Danio rerio: one gene and its partner. The protein of the gene in region 2 binds, or shares a complex with, the protein of the main gene of each other region. Links are inferred from orthologs where the notes say so. Each region holds a gene or a part of one and is shown on either strand. Other genes may lie near its edges.

Region 1 (4,291 bases), on a different chromosome or scaffold from region 2:
GATTTACAGTATGTTGGCAATTAATTACAAACTAAACAGCTGATCATGTACAGTACCATTTCTCAAAAATCCTCCTGAACCCCAGTATGACCAGCTGGTACAGTGTTGATGCCAGTCCAAAGTGGTCTACAGACAAGCTTGGACCAGATATTTACTCTTTTTAACCAAATAATAGCCAATTTGGGTGTATAGAAATGAGGTAGCATGTTCAAAAACACTGGAATTAGCTTAATCTATAGTATTTCAAGCAACAACAGCTAGGTGACCGATGTTGGCTACAAATGAGACAGGTTATATATATATATATATAAATAAGGGTTAACCATAAGGGAATTAAATGGGGGACTTTTTAACTTTGTTCATCAATGCCAATCCCTAGATTCTAACTCTACTTTGTCTTTGTTATCTAATGTTTTTTTCTTTAGGACTATTTTGTGTCAGTTACAGGAAATTTGGTCTAATTTAAGGCTAACCCTCTTGACTAACTGCTAGTTGGTTAAAATGTAGCCATCAGTTCACCAAAATAGACAAATAAGTCAAAATGGACAAACAGCCTTGAGATCGTATTGTAAAATCAGCTTAGCTCTGTTGAGCAACGTGATCAACGTTTGTTTACATGCAGCTGACCCTATACCATTTCCTAAAAACCGACCTGAACCCCATATGACCAGCTGGTTCACTGTTGATGCCAGTCCAAAGTGGTCTACAGACAAGCTTGGAGGAGATATTTACTCTTTTGAACCAAATAATAGCCAATTTAGGTGTGTAGAATCCAGCTAGCATATTCGGAAACAATGCAACATGCTTAATCTATAGCATTTCAAGCAAGAACAGGTGACCAATGGACTCTACCATAAGGGATTTGAATGAGTGATTTTTAAACTTTATTTAACAATACTAATCCCTAGATGGCTATACTTTGTCTTCATCATGTAATTTTTTTTTTCTTTAGGACCATTCAGAACTATTTGTGTCAGTTAGAGCAAAATTGGTCTAATCTAAGGCTAACCCTCTTGACTAACTGCTAGTTGGTTAAAACTTTAGCCACCAGTTCGCCAAAATGGACAAATCAGTCAAAATGAACAAACTGCCTTGAGACCGTATTGTAAAACCAGGTTAAGATGGTAGCTCTGTTGAGAATTGTGATTAACCTTTGTTTACATGCTAGCTGACCATATACCGTTTCTCAAAAACCCACCTGAACCCCAGAATGACCAGCTGGTAGTGTTGGTGCTAGTCAAGTGGTCTACACACAAGCTTGGACCAGATATTAAGTATTTTTAACTAAATAATAGCCAAATTAGGTGTGCAGAAACCAGCTCGCATGTTCAAAAACACTGAAACAAGCTTAATCTATCATTTCAAGCAGTAGCAGATGCCCGATGGACTGGTGTTGGCCACAAGTGAGACTTTTGTTTTGACCAGTAAGGGTCTACCATACAGAAATTAAATTAGTGACTTTTAATGAGTGATTCTGACTGTACTTTGTTTTAGTCAGCTGATGTTTTTCATTAGGATGATTAAAAACTATTTTGTGTAAGTTACAGCAAAATTAGTCTAGATTCTGACTGTACTTTGTCTTCGTCATACGATGTTTTTTTTTCTTTTCTTTAGAACCATTCAGAACTATTCAGTTTACAGAAAATTTGTCTATTCTAAAGCTAACCATCTTGACTAACAGCAATTTGGTTAAAATGTAGCCACCAGTTCCCCAAAATAGAAAAATAAGTCAAAATTAACAAACTGCCTTGAGACCGTATTGTAAAATCAGGTTAAGATGGTAGCTCTGCCGAGGAACATGATTAACTTTTGATGCTAACTGACCATATAAATTCCCAAAAAACCTCCTGAACTAGTATGACCAGTTGATACAGTGTTGATGCCAGTCCAAAGTGGTCTATCCGTATAAGATTCATGAACTAAATAATACTATTTTAACCAAATAATAGCTAACGCAGACCTACCAGCTAACAGGTTAAAAACACAGCAACTAGATTAATCTATAATTTCAAGCAGAAACAGGTGACCAATGGACGGATGTTGGCTACAGGTGAGAACCTTGACCGACAATGGTCCACCATAAGAGTATTGAACGAGATTGTAACCCCGTTTATCAAAACTCAGTAGAAATTGACTGTGTTTGAACTGTTTAATGAACACTGTGTCTACTGATGCCTGGCCCGAAAGATGAGGCCTCGGTTGCGGTGTGAAATCTCAGGGCGGAGGGGAAAAAAACAAGAAATGTGAGTTTGGCGGATGGAGAAGCATCAACACATTTGATCAACATCTCGCCTCATTAAAACTGCGCGCGTCTGATTAAAAGCGCGATAAAGGCGTTATACACGGGCAGATTGTGTAGCTGTAGCCCTCTGCGGATATATGAAGCGCTTAAATGCACGACTGCTCAACAACAAGTAGCAGCAAATTAACCATTTGCGACAACGTATACAAATCCCCCCCAAAAGTCTTACCTGGAAATAGTGCGACTGAGAAGCGCTTTCTACCCCAGACAGAGGGTCTGCGGAAGATTTGGACATCTTTACTTGCACCATCTATTTGAGAGCGCAGGGGAGGCGGGTGCATGCATGCATTGGTGCTTACTGGAAGAAACAGCGATGCGAAACACACATGACCGCCGAGGAAGAAGAGAGTATCACGGTTGAACAGGAAAACCGCCTTCTGTTTGACTGCATTCGCACGGAGCCGTTGATTAATTCCCTCGCGCTGGGTTTCGTAAATCAAGATAGTAATACAGGTGGACAAATGCAATGTGTCTGTTTCTTGTGCATGCGCGTTTTGTAATGATCTCTCTCTCTCTCTCTCTCTCTCTCTCTCTCTCTCTCTCTCTCTCTCTCTCTCTCTCTCTCTCTCTCCAGAGCATTCTATATTTGCCTCTCTTGTACTGTACATCATGTATATTAGTCTTCCATACAATGTTGCAAACTACAACTCATAAGTCACCAGAAATCTTTAGCCTATTTAAAGGAATATATATATATATATATATATATATATATATATATATATATATATATATATATATATATATATATATATATATATATATTATGCAGTGCATCCAGAAAGTATTCATAGTGCTTCACCTTTTCCACATTTTTTTACAGCCTTATAGCAAAACAGATTAAACTCATTTATTTCCTCAAAATATTCCACACAATACCCAATAATGATAATGTGAAAAAAAAATTAATTGTTGAAAATTTTTAAAAAATGAAAAAGCTGAAAAATCACATGTACATAAGTATTCACAGCCTTTGCACAATACTTTGTTGATGCACCTTTGGCAGCAATTACAGCCTCAAGTCTTCTGAATATGATGCCACAGGCTTGGCACACCCTATTTTGGGAATTTTTGCCCTTTCCTCTTTCCAGAACCTCTCAAGCTTTATGGTAAGCGATGGTTTGCAGCCATTCTCAGATCTTTCCAGAGCTGTTCAATAAGATTTAGTTCCGGACTCTGGCTGGGCCACTCAAGGACATTCACAGAGTTTTGTGAAGCCACTCTATTGATTTTTTGGTGGTGTACTTTGGGTCATTGTCCTGTTGGAAGATGAGCTGTTGCTCCAGTCTGAGGTCAATAGCACTCTGAAGCAGGTTTTCATTTAGGATGTCTCTGTACATTGCTGCATTCATCTTTCTCTCTATCCTGACTAGTCTTCCAGTTCCTGCTACTGAAAAGCATCCTCACAGCATGATGCTGCCACCACCATGCTTTACTGTAGGTATGCTATTAGCCTGGTGATGAGCGGTGTCTGGTTTTCTCCAAACGTAACGTTTGGCATTCACTCCAAAGAGCTCAATTTTAGTCTCATCAGACCAGAGAATTTCGTTTCAGATGCCTTTTGGCAAATTTCAGGTGGGCTGCTATGCGCCGTTTACTAAAGAGTGGCTTCCATCTGGCCACTCTACCATACAGGTCTGATTGGTCGATTGCTATACAGATGGTTGTCCTTCTGTTAATTTCCCCTCTCTCCACAGAAGAACACTGGAGCTCACACAGAGTAAACATCGAGGTATTGATCACCTCCCTGACTAAGGCCCTTCTTCCCGATCACTCAGCTTAGATGGCCGGCCAGCTCTAGGAAGCATCCTGGTGGTTCCAAACATCCTCCACTTATGGATGATGGAAGCCACTGTGCTCATTTGAACTTTCAGGGCAGCAAAAATCTTTCTGTAATCTTCCCCAGCCTTGTGCCTCAAGACAATCCTCTCTCTGAGGTCTACAGAAAATTCCTTTGTCTTCATGCTTGGTTTGTGCTTTGGCATGCAC
Region 2 (3,500 bases):
AAGATCCGCTGCCCTCCAGCCGCAGAGAGGGCACAGGCTGATAGCATGGGCCTCCACCGCTGCGGCCACTGGGACTCGCAGGAGGTGTGGAACACAGACGTGTGAACAGTGTCGGAGAGTGACTCCGTCTCAGCAAGGGACTTAACCCTGCCACGGCCAGAGCCTTTGAGAACCAAAAGATGAAAAAAGTGAAAAGGACAGAAAATAACCCTGTCATTCATGAGTGTTTATGCAAATGTGCATGAACTTACCTGATGATGCACTAGGTGCAATGGTAGTGCTGTCTTCTGAGAAACGTCAGGTCTGTTATGCTTTCTCAGACACTCCAAGTGAAAGGAAGACCGTCGACCTGTGTTAGGAAGGAAGTACATGTGACTTCATGGTCATGGAGCTACTCATTGTATAGATTCATCCTAACAGTAATAAATTTGCTCATTTACCCAGTGCAGTAGGGCAGAGGAAGGCCCGTCGCCGTGGAGACTGCCACGGCCTTCTCTCCTCCCCTACTTCTGCCTCCACCATAGGAGCCAGTTGCTTGCTTTCTTCATCCTGAAATTCCAGCCTGTACCCCACACACACATTCAGAGAATATATATATATATATATATATATATATATATATATATAAAAATACTCGTACAAAGAATCTAATAAAACAAGTCAAGTATTACATGTCCATGGAGAGCATGGCCTGATCTCTCTCATCTAAAAATGTTTCATCATATGTCTCATCTGTAGATGCTTCCTCTCGCCGTATTATAGGGAGACGACTGTCACTGGAATCAGAGCTAAACAAAACACACATAAACACACTAAGATGAACTAAAAGCACAACTGCACATGTTTAACAACACTGTTTTAGAAAGTGAGAAACCTCACTTAACCTACAATTAAAAACAATTCTCTTGAAGCTCTCATAAGGCTGTTTACAATGTGAACAATCAATTATAGCAGCGTAAGGTTTGTTTTGTCTGAAGCGCTGATGTCTAACAAACCTTATGACGAAGTTTTGAATGATTGTGTCACATTATAGAAGCACAATTTTTTTTTTTCATGAAACCTTATGATTTTTATAGTAGTTCAAGGGGTACTACATAAAGACCCTCCATAAAAGCAAAGAATTTGTATGATTGTTTTGCATCTGTTGGCAGCACACACACACACACACACACACAAAAAACAGATTAACAAAACAACTTAATACCGGCTGTTTAATGATTTGCAAAAATGACTTGTTAAAATGATTCCTTTGCATTTTGGTCTAAATGAAGAGCCCCTTAAAAATAGCCTGGAAATGACCATGATGATGAACTTCACACACACACTCATTCACGCACACACACACACACACACATACAGACGCACACATACACGCATCTACATTGCCTAGCAGAGCGGTTCTCAACTGGTAAGTCTAATAGCAAGAAAAATAAATAATTGAAAATGTAAATGCTTTCTAATGCAGCTAACCATATAGCACATGCCTATTTATAAAACTGCTGTATGGTACAATTTTTATTACAAAGTAAATGCATGAGGACTTAACCCATTTCAATAATTTAAATCAAAGCATTATCAAATCAAATCTTATAGTATTTCCTATATCTGTGATCAGTGTAACTTTAGTATTTATATAATATATTACTATACTGTGTAGCCTTTTTCTTTTTATATTTTCAGCTTATATTTTTGTTTTAGTAAACTTGTTTTAGTCTTTTTTTATGTATTTAAGTTCAATAAAGATTTTGTGGTTTTGATACTTTAAACTTCAACTTAAATGACTTTTATTATGTAATTTTATGCTCAAAATATCCAAAATGCAATAACGAGCAACTAAATTGTTAATCCATCTTCCAAATCAGTTATTTAAAAACCTTCAAACACTACCATTAGCCTACAATAAGTATAATAAGAACAGATTTTATGGGAAATTGTGTCCATTAGCTACACGCTATATTCTGTGCATGTCTCATCATATCTATTAACAAGCAAAAGTGACTCCAGCCATTTTGGCCAACATATTGTGAGGGAGTAGCATATGTTAATCATAAGTTATAAAAACAAAAAAAAACTCTAAAGCATAGCCTTTAATCATTAAGAGAAATTAAAATCGAATCAACATTGAATGAGCAATAAAAGGTCTTAAAATCGACCTTTGTGGTCCATGCAGCTCTCATATAAAAAGTAACATGATTTAATTATAAAGGATAAGATTTAGAATTTCATTATGGGTTATTGTAGCCTATAATGGATTTTAGAGTAGTTAAAGTTTGTAACAAGATCACTGTGTTCTTTGTAAAAACATTCAGAACATTGTGTCAGATCCATTTATCTTCAAGTAACATGAACCAAACTTCATGTTTTGCAAAACCAGTTGAAATCCGCTGGCCTAAGACATGCTCATTCAGTTATCAGCCAATCAGGAAAGCTGCTCACAAATCCTGACAGTCATTGTTAGGTACAGAGTGGATCTTTCAACACACTGAGATTCAGATCCACCACAGTATGGCAGAGCATACATGAACAGCCCTACAAAGTCATGAGGTCTCTCTTGGTTTCTGTGAGAAGAACGTACCGCATGAAAGTGTCATAGAAACAGCTCCTGGTTCACAAGAAACAATCAGGAATGAGACAAACCATAATCAGGAACTAGAATCTGACAAACCTGAACATCTACGATAACCCGTGCATCAGCAATCAAACACAGAACGCATGTGTCATCATACCTCTTGTTAGGAAAGCACCATGTGGGTCGTGGCAGTGGGATGGTGGTGAGAGGAGGCCCTGTTTGTCCGTCCACCGTGCTGACAGTAGGTTTGGGATAGCGGTGTCCGATGGCGGTGTTGTTGGCGTTGTTGATGTTGGCGTTGGATCCTGAGGAAGAGTAACTGCTGGGAGTGAAGGTGGAGTCCACCAGCTTCTGATGAGAGGGAGATTCAGCCTCGCCGGGACTCCCGGATTTACTGATGTGCAATGGCCGCTGTGTGGTGAAGGACTGTGGGAAGGAGACGTGGCCATCACTCTGATGGTAGTAGTTTACATGGTTACCGAAGAGGCCACCAGACCGCTGCAAAGATAAACATGTGTCACTTCTATGAAAATTTATCCCCGCCTCCACCTGCCCCAAAGACCTTGTTTACGTCTGGTATTACAGTTTTTCTCGGTCGCTTTGGCGCATTTACATTTGCACAACAGTTAATGTATTTCTCATTTGTGCACATCATAGTAGCAGGTTTTCATTCCTTCCAACAATTTGCAAATGCTTTTGGGCATGCATCAATTGCTTTCATACAACTCTCTGCTGTTTTATAACATTATAATTTGCTTATGTCATGTTACTCAAAGTTAACTAAACTTGTGAATGCTGAACAGTCATTCTATATAAAACTAATAGTCCTCATATTTTATTAATATTAATTTATTACTTCAGTTATTACATATAAAAATGTTGAACTAGTTGTCAAAATCTGTCAAGCAATTTTTATGAAAAAAATGTACAT

The links. The genes of interacting proteins can lie anywhere in the genome.
Region 1: cacna1c (region 2) and cacnb3a share a complex: the UniProt entries of both Homo sapiens proteins name them as parts of the calcium channel complex. The link is inferred for Danio rerio from reciprocal best matches to the Homo sapiens genes CACNA1C and CACNB3.

Annotation. Positions count from the first base shown.
Region 1 is NC_133198.1:15,636,228-15,640,518, reverse strand, and holds the start of cacnb3a (voltage-dependent L-type calcium channel subunit beta-3a), read right to left. Parts: upstream 2,801-4,291; 5' UTR 2,553-2,800; coding exon 2,472-2,552; intron 1-2,471. UniProt on the Homo sapiens protein: Regulatory subunit of the voltage-gated calcium channel that gives rise to L-type calcium currents. Increases CACNA1B peak calcium current and shifts the voltage dependencies of channel activation and inactivation.
Region 2 is NC_133179.1:21,064,522-21,068,021, reverse strand, and holds part of cacna1c (voltage-dependent L-type calcium channel subunit alpha-1C), read right to left. Parts: intron 3,068-3,500; coding exon 2,727-3,067; intron 2,603-2,726; coding exon 2,576-2,602; intron 789-2,575; coding exon 672-788; intron 563-671; coding exon 441-562; intron 350-440; coding exon 252-349; intron 164-251; coding exon 1-163. UniProt on the Homo sapiens protein: Pore-forming, alpha-1C subunit of the voltage-gated calcium channel that gives rise to L-type calcium currents. Mediates influx of calcium ions into the cytoplasm, and thereby triggers calcium release from the sarcoplasm.